Linked DNA regions of Callithrix jacchus. The protein of the gene in region 3 interacts with the protein of the main gene of each other region in a pairwise test. Links are inferred from orthologs where the notes say so. Each region holds a gene or a part of one and is shown on either strand. Other genes may lie near its edges.

Region 1 (3,655 bases), on a different chromosome or scaffold from region 3:
AGAGCTCCACCCCAAGCTGAGAATATTCTATCAGTTAACAATTTCTCTTGTAAATGGACTAGCTCAGTGCTTGTAAAACTTTTGCATATGCACAAATCACATGGTGATCTCTGCGGATTCAGATCTAATAGATGCTGAGATTCTGCCTGTCCAACAGAACCCAGATGATATGATGCTGTTCGTTCCCATATCACACTGAGTAGTAAGGGGATAGACCACAACCATCAGATATTGGAGGAGTAACAGTAGCACCTGGTTCACTGTAGGTAATGAACACAAATAAACAGAGTGGCAAGGCAGGAGCAAGGACTCTGCAGCACACTTTCTAGGGTGGGTCTAGCTCTCTAACCCTCGGTCTCCATATGTTCTTTTTGTTTTTAAAGATAATCATACATCTTTCATACTCTCTTCGCCAGCACATATACTAAAATTGGAACAATACAGAGATCGGCATGAACCCTGTGCAAGGAAAACACACAAATTCATGAAGCACTCCATATTTTTAATAAAAAGGGGTAAAAAATAATAATAGCAGCTTTCTAAAAATTACTTGTTAGCAAAAACAATGCACGGAAAGCATCTAGCAGAGCCTGGGGCATCATGACAGCCCCTCAATAAATGCTACCTATTTTCATTTTCTGTGCAATGAGTAAGGGACAAAAAAATGGCTTACTGAAACATAAAGAAAATCAGGTTGTGACAATCTTTATAATTTAATTCCTGTATTATAATAATTACTGTATTATAAGTGAGCTATGATCATGCCACTGCACTTTAGCCTGGATGACAGAGCAAGAGACCTTGACTCTTAATAATACTGTATTATAAGGTAAAAAATAGAACCACTCAGTTATTTCTATTTATAGAATGCATTTTTTATTTTCAAATTAACTCTAACTGGCTTCATTTTAGACATGTAATAACTGTTGAATTAAAGAGTTCACTATATTAAAAAACAGGCAAAGTTTTATTTTGGTATTATAGTGATCTCAAATATATCTTGTAAAAAATTAATGTCCTCACTCCAATGAAGCATAGTATATATTATTCTTTCATAATTATAAGTCTATAAGTTATCTTATTCCTTAGGTGGTACTGTAGCAATCATGAGATTAACAGAATTGGCTTAATTATAAAGTACATCGCTTTCCCTAATGGTTCCCATGTTTTAGGTCTTAAAAACATTATTTCTTTTTATTATATTTGAGTAAGACATATTTTACTGATTTGTCTGAGAAGACACAGGTAGAGCTGTTAAGATTATTGACAGAACACTATAAGGAAGCAGATGTTCACAACCTTATAAAAACTAAATAGATAAGACAGGTTTGGAAACATGATATAAACCTGCATCTAGCTATTCACATACCTTGTTTTCTTCACCTGAATGCTGCTACTGAGTTTTTCCAGTACATATTCACCAGTGTCATGATTAATAATAAGCACACAGTCTTTCTGGTAAGGCCGTTTGTTCCCCTTGAACACAGTCATGGGTGGCGTGGATCCCTATTTGCCACAAAAGTATAAGATGATCAAACTAAACATAGCAGTTATGAATACCAACTGAATTTACAGATGACTCTACCTGATGAAATGTTTTATTCGAGCTATTTAAAAAGAATAGACTGAACTGATTTCTATTTTAACTCCTTCTGGTTTCCCAGGCAAAAATAAAGGAGAAATAATATAGCAAGAATCTGTAAATGTGCAATGCATTCTAAGTAGTCAAGAAAGGTAGTATAAAAATTTTAAATTACTGTATATGTTCCGAGAGAGAAAAACAAATGAACTATTACTTGCATTATACTAAGCAGAGCTATCACTCTATATGGTACAACTGTGAGTGATCCCTTTATTTCTTCGAAATTAGAGAGTTCAAGGTTTCCCCTTCTCAAGGCAAGCAACCAACAGAGCATTTTCCAAGAGCAGGTCATTATCCTGGTTGGCTCAGAATAAATCAGTCAGGTCACTCATCTGCCTAAGCCTTTCAATCACTCCTCAGTTGCTCTCAAGCCAAAGGATAAAATCTTTAAACTAGCCAGGAAACCCTGCACTACTGGGCCCTTCCCTGGCTCTCCACCTTACCCTGCAGCAGATGCCCCTGGGCATGTGCTTCAAAGCAGAAGGCAATTGGCTTCTCTCAGATCCTCAAGCTCTCTCCTGCCTCTGGGCTTTAACAAGGCTTCTCTGGCTATATCCTGCCAGCTCTCTTTAAATTATCCAACCTCCAGATCTGCTCACAGGTTACTTCCTTAAGGAAGCCGCCCCTGATTTAGAATAACTGCTGTATTTTCTAGTATTTATTTAAACTCCAGACCATAAGCTCCACAAGGGCAAGAAATGTGCTTGTTTTGTTCAAGGTTGTATTCTTCATGCCTAGTGACGGGCCAATGTGTGGGAGGCATTCATTAATATTTGTCAAATATAGTATTTAATGCCTTGCTTAGAATCAAAAACCACTTGGCTCTTTGCTTATTTATATAGCAAACTATAGCGCTAGAAAGGACTTTAGGGACCATTTATCTAAACCTTTCATTTTACATATGGGAAACTAAGGTCCAAAGGGAGATGATGTAACCTGCCAAAGCCAAAAAGTAATCAAACAGCAGTTTGAATGGGCAGACCATTTTTCCTCAGTACAAAGCGTTCCAGATCTCCCTGTCTAGAGACTTTTCATTCTGTCACCAGCTACCAAGAACTTACGTTCCAGCATGGGGTGTGACATGCAATAACACATGTTCACTAAGAGCATCATGTGATCCTCTGGTGCTTCGTGATTAGTGCTGCCTTGGGCGCTAATTCACAAAAGTCTTTCTCTGCAAGGGTTCTTAATCCAGCTTTTAACTTAGTTCTCCATCCCTACATCAGTGGAATGTGCCAAACCTCTGGCTCCTGCCTGCCTTAACTCCTGGCTTGGTTGCCTCACACTCCTGAGCTGTTGTGGCCATATAATCAGCAGGGCGCCTAGACCTTTTCTCTCTAGAGTTGCTTGGGAGAAAAGCTATATCAAAAGTGGGGCTAGGTGTCCAAACAGGAACCTTGTCTACTCAGTAGCAGACAGAAGAAAAGGAAGCTTGGGCAAAATGACAAAGAATCTTTTTTTTTTTTAATGAGAGGGAGTCTCATTCCATCGTCCAGGCTGGAGTGCAGTGGCATGATCTTAGCTCACTGCAACCTCTACCTCCCAGGCTCAAGCGATCCTCCCACCTCAGCTTCCCAAGTACCTGGGACCACAGACATGCACCATCACCCCCAGCTCATTTTTTGTATTTTTTGTACAGACAGGGTTTCACCATATTGCCCAGGCTGGTCTTGAACCCCTGAGCTCAAGTTATCCATCCACTTCCGCCTCACAAAGTGCTAGGATTACAAGAATTATTTTTAATCAAGCACCTGCCTAGCATGAAGTCCACCCCACCCCACTCCCCCAAATCCCTTTTTTGCTTATGTTGCCACTTTAGAAATCTAAACATTTTTAAAAGTAGGAAGTTTAAATTGCAACAATATAAATGACAAGAATTCACTGTGATCCCACATTTAAAAAAAACAATGAAATAAACTCACAGGGATATGTGGCAGTGTAATTGTGACTTCATCTCCTTTACCAACTTGAAGCTCTCCTTCACAGGAAGTGTCTATAGATGCTGGTTTAAAA
Region 2 (3,655 bases), on a different chromosome or scaffold from region 3:
TCCAAAATTTGAAGGCATCCCCATAACTATTAGCTTTCAGGACTGCTTTGGAGAAGTGGAAATCTATTGACTCCTGATCTTAGACTGATAACCTGTTTAATCCCTGATCCTGGAAGTCTGGGTTGTATCTTCCTTGTTCCCTGTGATATGAAGTTTTATAATGCTGTGCCTTTGTGTGGGTCTATTTTTAGCTCTGTGTTTGGTACTTGTGGAAACTTTTCAATTGTAAAACTAATGTCCTTCAGTTCTTGGAAATTTTCTTTGTGGGACTCATTTGAGTGAAGTATTTCCTAGACTAATTGTGATATATGTCTGGGAATCAAATAGGTGAGGAGGGCTGAAAAGTTCTCAGCCTTTAACTTCCTCCCTGTTTTCAGCTATGGTTAGTGTGTACCAATTTAAAGAACCTATGTTTTACCTTGTGTAGAAAATAAACCTCCAGTAGTCTGCTGGGATGATGAAGGGAACTCATCTGTCTTCACAGAGGAAGGGAACTGAAGATCTAACTCCTGGAGACTTCCAACCAATCTTCCTGATTTTAGCCTTATATTCAACCCCAAGGATACTAATTATCATGTCTTTAGGGGATTTTAAAATGTATATCAGGTTACTCCATAGCTTTCCATACTGCTAAAAAATTTAGCTTTTTCAAGAGTGCAATCAGTTCTCACCCATGTGCTTTTCAGTTTCCAAAATTTTACTGCTATTCCTTCCTAGCTCATTTTCTTTGCCTTTGTAAGTTTATGCTTTTGAATTTTCTACTTCTGTCATTTTAGTGGTATTTCAGTAGAGAACAAAAGTAAGAGTGTGTATTCAATCAATTATCTTTACCCTGAAGTTGTATATACTCGTATATGATATGACTCTTGTTTGCTGTCTTTGGGATTCTTTCCTTCTTTTTCCTTTTCAGCTTGTTCTAGCACCTTACATTTGATTTCTTCACTTATCTTAACTGGACATAATATGGAAAGCTTGACATTAAAAACAAAATTTATTGTTTACTATTCATTGATAGTCTAAACTAAAATGAATCTAAAATTTGCAACTGTCATTCCTTGTCTAAGATCATATTCAAATAAGTTATATTTTATTTCAGAGTGATATTTATCACATCACAATCTGTAGTTTACAAAGTAGTTTCATTTATAGCATCGCATTTAATCCCTAAAAACCCCACAGCAAGGATGAGCCATTTTATATACAATGTGAAAAAGAAAGGGTTAAATAATAGGTCTACAATCCACTCTCTCTCTAGGGAGAGAAGAGGATGTGCCCAGGAAAGACAGACCTGGAGAAATTTCTCTGAAACACTAACAACAAATGTCCTGGAAAAAAAATAAATGATATCTGTTAGCTACAGAATCCTTATTTATATAATTATTATTTACATACTTTCAGTAGGATGCAACTGAGATTGTTTATGGTAAACAAACCTGGAATCTATGGATTAATGGGGCATAACTCTCTGGAAAATGTAACTATCCAAGCATAAAATGAGTATGTTTTATGACCAAATCAACTTTCTTTGGTGTAAGTAATAAAGAAAGTTCTTCCGTTAATATTAATCAGAATGGATTCTGAAGCAGAAAGGAAATACCTGGGGAGCTGTATTGGCATGCCTAGAACTCTCTGCTTTGCCTATGCCTCATGATCACTTGTATACTTGAAATTATTAGTGAAGCTTGATACTGGCTAAGATCGCTGATCTGCATGAGCATGATTTGACAATCCAATATTTTGTGTTACCCTAAAAGGCAGCTGAACCTCAGAGTGGTTAAGTGACTTGGTGCAAATCACGTGCCAAAACAAACTGCCAAATAGGACTAGGAACCAAATCTTAAATAACATTTTTTCAGCCATTTGACACATATTCTAATGTGATAGGGGGAAAACAACAACAAAAAACATGAGCTGTGTATCAGAAATAGACTTGCCTCCTGGATCCATAACTGATTAGCTGGTTCAATCTTAGGTAAATAACTTACAATATTTAAAACCCATTTCCTGTGCAGGAGCTCTTAAACTATAAAAGAGCTCTTAATGATAAGTGTAAAGGATAAGCATGACATAATATGACAGAACATTTACAAACATTTCTAAAGAATGAAAAAAAATTATTGCTTACTTTTTTCCTGTAATGCTTGCAATTTATTCAGTTCTTCATTCTCTTCATCACTATCTTCACTACTTGTACTGCTGACATCCAAAACGATGTCCCTTTTAGGGTCTACTCGGAGAAAATTGCGGCATTCAAAAGTCAGGTGACCAGCTAAATGAAACAAAAAAATGTGACTGATAAAGCTATAGATACATGATATATTGTTGTTTGTTTTGCTGCTTCACTGTAACCAAGAAGTTACAATTTCAATAATATAATGTAGAAAGCTTTAACTTTTAATCAGTTGGTGGTTGTTTATTTTCCCTATACTTTTTCATGAATATAATACTCAAAGAATTTTTTTCCTTTTGTCCTCAGAACTCCTTATTCAATAAGCATTTTTTGAAACCACTTCTTATGGATTTCAAAGTACTGAGTTATTCTATTTCCCTTTCTAAAAATACAGTAATTTTTTAAATAAATTTTTTTAAAAAGCATCATATTTGGAATTTTATACTGTATTCCTTACCCATACTTTTTCTTTCCCAGTATGACTAATATATTTACAAAATTATATACTTTCATCTAATTAAAGTTGACATAATAGACAAGCATTAATACAACTGAATGTGCTTTACTGAAGAATACCTAAACATTTAATTGCTGCATCATTCCTCTAAAGACTCTACCCTATAAGAAAACTACAACAGTTATCTACTTACATATGATTGCTTTAGAAAGCCAAATATTACAAACACCATAAAAGTACAGGCAATAATACAACCAATACCTAAATACCTATCATTCATATATTAACATTTTGGCATACTGTAAATTTGTTTAAGGGAAAAGCTCACTCACATGCCTGTGCGCGCACACACACACACACACACACAGCTGGAGAGCCTGAATCAACTTCTGGAACACTTTCTCAATCTCATCCTATTTTTTTTTTTGTCCTCTGAAGTGACTGCACTGAAGTTGGTCTCTATCATTCTCAAACATTGTGATATGTATTTTTTCAAAAAAATAAACTCAATTATACCTATTATTCTGCAAGTTTTTTCCCACCACCAAGTATTTTGTGATTTATCTATGTTAAAGAAAACAGGTATAATTTGCTCATTTTATCTAATCGATAATGTTCCACTGTATGAAAATTATATTTATTTATTTATCGTACTACTGATAGAAATGTAGGTTGCTTCCAGTAGTTTGCTACTATAAATAATGTTGAAATTAGTTGTACATGTCTCTTTGTGCACATGTACTAGGTTTTCTCTAGGGTTACAGCTTTCAAATTTTCTTAACAATTGAGAACAATGAAAAATAATGCAACCAAGTGCACTCACACACATATTCATGGATAAATACACCCTAACACACAAAAACTGAAACAAAAGTTACATGAAGGATTTCTACATTCAATGTTCAAAAAAACCAATGCTAATGGTGACCAAATAATTCATTTCACGATCCACTAATGATTCACTACAAGTCTATGCTAGAATTTGTTTCTAGTTCTCTCTTACTTTGTAGGCGAAAACCTTTGGGAGG
Region 3 (3,226 bases):
TGTCGGAAAGGGTTAGGGCAGGGGCCGCACGGGAAGGGTTAGGCCCCTGGCCTCGCTAGCTCGGTTCCCCGAGGACTTGAGGAAGTGTTACCATGGAGACAGCACGCACCCCACCCCCTCCCAGGCCCAGGGTCTCGGGCTTGGTGTCTCCAGTTCTCTCCCCTTACCCACCCTCCACCCCTCCCCATCCCTCGCTCTCCAACCGAGATCTTGTATCGCCCCCTGGCGGCCTAGCTCGGGCTCCAAGCCAGATTCCGAAATGCAAGGGGTTGCCCGTGGCGAAAACGCCAAGAACAAGGGGGACTTACCCTACTACAAGATCCTGCTCCCAGCCTCTGGGGCGCGGGGGTCCCGCGCTCCCCTTTCTTCACTGACAACAGAGGCCTCGCCTGGCAGCTGCATCTGTCTTCCCACCTCCCGTCAACCTCAGCCCAGATGGATCTCGGGTTAGGGATGATCCAGAGGGGTATTCTCCACCCCTCTGCAGGCCTTCTCAACCCCAGTTAAAGAACAACTTTTCTACGTTTTGTCAAAACTTTAATAAATTTGCAACATTCGACAGTTCACGCACCCCCGCCCCTGCCCTCCTCCTCCCCAAGTCCCTCGCTCCTCCTGGTGGATATGCGTTGTCTTCCAGCTCTTGCAAGCGGGGCCCGAAAGGTTTCAGGTGCGGGCTGCTCTGGGCAGCAGGTGTCCGAGGCCCCAGGCTGGGGAAGGGGGCGAGAACCAGTCCCTTCCCAGAAGCCCTGTCATGCTCAGGCAGGCCTTCCTATCTACCCAGCAGTCCTGTTGCTTTCGCCCCCTCCCCAAATTCCACTGGGCCCGCCCAGAATGGGTGTGGGTGTCTCCCGCCTGCGGGCGCCCGCAAGCCTAAATCTCCTCCAGAAAGTCGGTAGGAAACAGCCCCACCTTGCGGCCGGTGTAGACCTTGACATAGCCGCCAGCCTCGTCTCCTTTCTGTACCACTATCTAGAGGATTAAAGGATCAGAAGTAGGAGAAGAATCAAAGGAAACGGTAGGAAAGGACAGCAGGGGAGCCCGGGGTTACAGGGGCTTACCCTAGTCTCATTAATGGTTAAGCTCTCCAAGTAGTGTGGTGGGCTAGGGGGCATTCAGGCCTTGGATTAGCCTGGGGCATTAACCTGGGGCAACAGCCTACCTGGTCCTTCTTAAGAGTGATCTGCCCTATCTCTCGGTTCCCCACGAAGGATCTCGTCACGCGGTGCACACGTTCTCCAGCCCGAACCCGAATGATGAAGTTTGGAGGGAAAAATCCGACCTTCTCCCCGATTTTCCCCTAGCGAAGATAGTCGGGAGAGTCCTCTCTCAATCTTGGGTTCTGGACTCAACCCACACTCCACCCTAGCCCTAGCCATTTCTCTCACCCGCCACCATTCTTCATTGGAGTCATCAATGACTGTGATCTTCTCTCCCGGCCTGGGAGGGGAAGGGAAGGGCCTCACTCACATAGCAGGTCCCCTCCTGTACCCTGGATCAAGTCTCCAAGCCCTGAGTCACCCTCTCCCTTTTCCTTGGGGGAATCCAGCTCTTTCCCTTTCACTCCACAGTACCAGCCCCCTGCCCCAAGGCCTCTCACGGGAAATCCAGATCGTCCTTTTCCAGGGCTTTGAATCGATAGAGAGCCACAAAGTAATGAGACTGCTGGAAGCCAGGATGCTTGTGCTGGGGGTGAAAGGGAATGATGAGTCTTGGGCTCCTCTACCCCACACTGAGGGGCAGGATTCCAAGGCAGGGGCATTCACCACACACTCTGCACTCCAACTCTCTTCTAGTTCCCTGAACTGAGAGGAGTTTTTTGGTTGTTGGTGGGTGTGCAAGGTGATAGAGCGAGTGGGTCAAGGGTGATGGGAAGTCTAGGAGTTAAAGAGTGAGCTTCTGCTGGACCATGAGTGGTGGTGTCAGACCTGGGTTGAGGAGAGGACAGGGTCCTTGTAGGGAGGAAGGATTCTCACTTTGTCATCAGGTGTCTTCTTTTCAGCCTTCTTATCCCCTTCAGGGTTTCCTGGGATAGGAAACACCAACAAATTGTCTGTCTCCTGGAGGGCAGTTCTTACTCTTTTACCCTTCTGTGGAAGGGCCTCATCTATCCAAAGCTGGCCTGCCCTTTGCTCCTCCACCCTCTGTTCGACAGCTGAGCCTCTGATCCTACTCCATCTCTGGATGGAGGTGGGTGACACTCACCATCCTGGGGTTTGCCTTCCTCTGGTCTGGCAGACTCTGGCTCCTCCTCCATCATGGCTGCTAGAGGCTGGAGGGGGCACCAGAGTTAGGGAGACACTGTCTTGGGAATCCATGCACTAGCGCTCTCTAATCAGGTCAGATAACTATAGAATAATGGGATCTCAGGGTTGGAAGAGGCCTTGGAGGAAATAGCTAGTCTAGCCACCTGCCTTCCTCTAAAACATCCTGGCAGGTGGGTCACCCACATTCTGCTTGAATGTAGCTAAATGACAGGGAATTCACTACCAGACTCCAGGTCCTTGACTATGCTGTCAACCTTTAAAAATACTCCAGTGTGTAAGTAAAGATGAGCAGCATGGCCAGATGCGGTGGCTCACGCCTGTAACCCCAGCACTTTGGGAGGCCAAGGCAGGGGTGGATCACCTGAGGTTAGGAGTTCAAGAACAGTCTGACCAACATGGAGAAACCTCATTTCTACTAAAAATACAAAATTAGCCGGGCGGTGCATGCCTGTAATCCCAGGTACTCGGGAGGCTGAGGCAGGAGATTTGCTTGAACCCAGGAGGGGGAGGTTGCAGTGAGTTGGATCCATACCATTGCACTCCAGCCTGGGCAACAAGAGCAAGACTCCATCTTCAAAAAAATAATAGCACAATTTTTATAATAATTCCCTTAGAATATAACCCAGGGGCGGGGCGTGGTGGCTCACACCTGTAATCCCAGCTCTTTGGGAGGCGGAGGTGGGTGGATCACGAGGTCAGGAGATCAAGACCATCTGGCTAATATGGTGAAACCCCGTCTCTACTAAAAATACAAAAAATTATCTGGGTGTGATAGCATGCACCTGTAATCCCAGCTACTCAGGAGGTTGAGGCAGGAGAACCCAGGAGGCAGAGGTTGTAGTGAGCTGAGAAAACAATCTATGGCTGGAGTTCTTAACCAGAGGCACACGGGGAGCGGCAGCAGGTCCCTAAACCCTCTAAAATTGAATGCTAAAATTGCATTGTGCCACGGCACTCCAGCC

Evidence for each region. The genes of interacting proteins can lie anywhere in the genome.
Region 1: the proteins of STAC3 (region 3) and EAF1 interact in binary tests that used the Homo sapiens proteins (3 or more experiments, as listed by UniProt). The two-hybrid records come from large-scale screens. The link is inferred for Callithrix jacchus from reciprocal best matches to the Homo sapiens genes STAC3 and EAF1.
Region 2: the proteins of STAC3 (region 3) and SREK1IP1 interact in binary tests that used the Homo sapiens proteins (3 or more experiments, as listed by UniProt). The two-hybrid records come from large-scale screens. The link is inferred for Callithrix jacchus from reciprocal best matches to the Homo sapiens genes STAC3 and SREK1IP1.

What each region holds. Positions count from the first base shown.
Region 1 is NC_133518.1:54,233,562-54,237,216, reverse strand, and holds part of EAF1 (ELL-associated factor 1), read right to left. Parts: coding exon 3,565-3,655; intron 1,507-3,564; coding exon 1,370-1,506; intron 505-1,369; exon of another isoform or gene 401-504; intron 1-400. UniProt on the Homo sapiens protein: Acts as a transcriptional transactivator of ELL and ELL2 elongation activities.
Region 2 is NC_133503.1:144,792,918-144,796,572, reverse strand, and holds part of SREK1IP1 (protein SREK1IP1), read right to left. Parts: intron 2,270-3,655; coding exon 2,126-2,269; intron 1-2,125. UniProt on the Homo sapiens protein: Possible splicing regulator involved in the control of cellular survival.
Region 3 is NC_133510.1:62,460,533-62,463,758, reverse strand, and holds the end of STAC3 (SH3 and cysteine-rich domain-containing protein 3), read right to left. Parts: intron 2,270-3,226; coding exon 2,203-2,269; intron 2,024-2,202; coding exon 1,974-2,023; intron 1,684-1,973; coding exon 1,598-1,683; intron 1,438-1,597; coding exon 1,386-1,437; intron 1,298-1,385; coding exon 1,160-1,297; intron 970-1,159; coding exon 871-969; 3' UTR 516-870; downstream 1-515. UniProt on the Homo sapiens protein: Required for normal excitation-contraction coupling in skeletal muscle and for normal muscle contraction in response to membrane depolarization. Required for normal Ca(2+) release from the sarcplasmic reticulum, which ultimately leads to muscle contraction.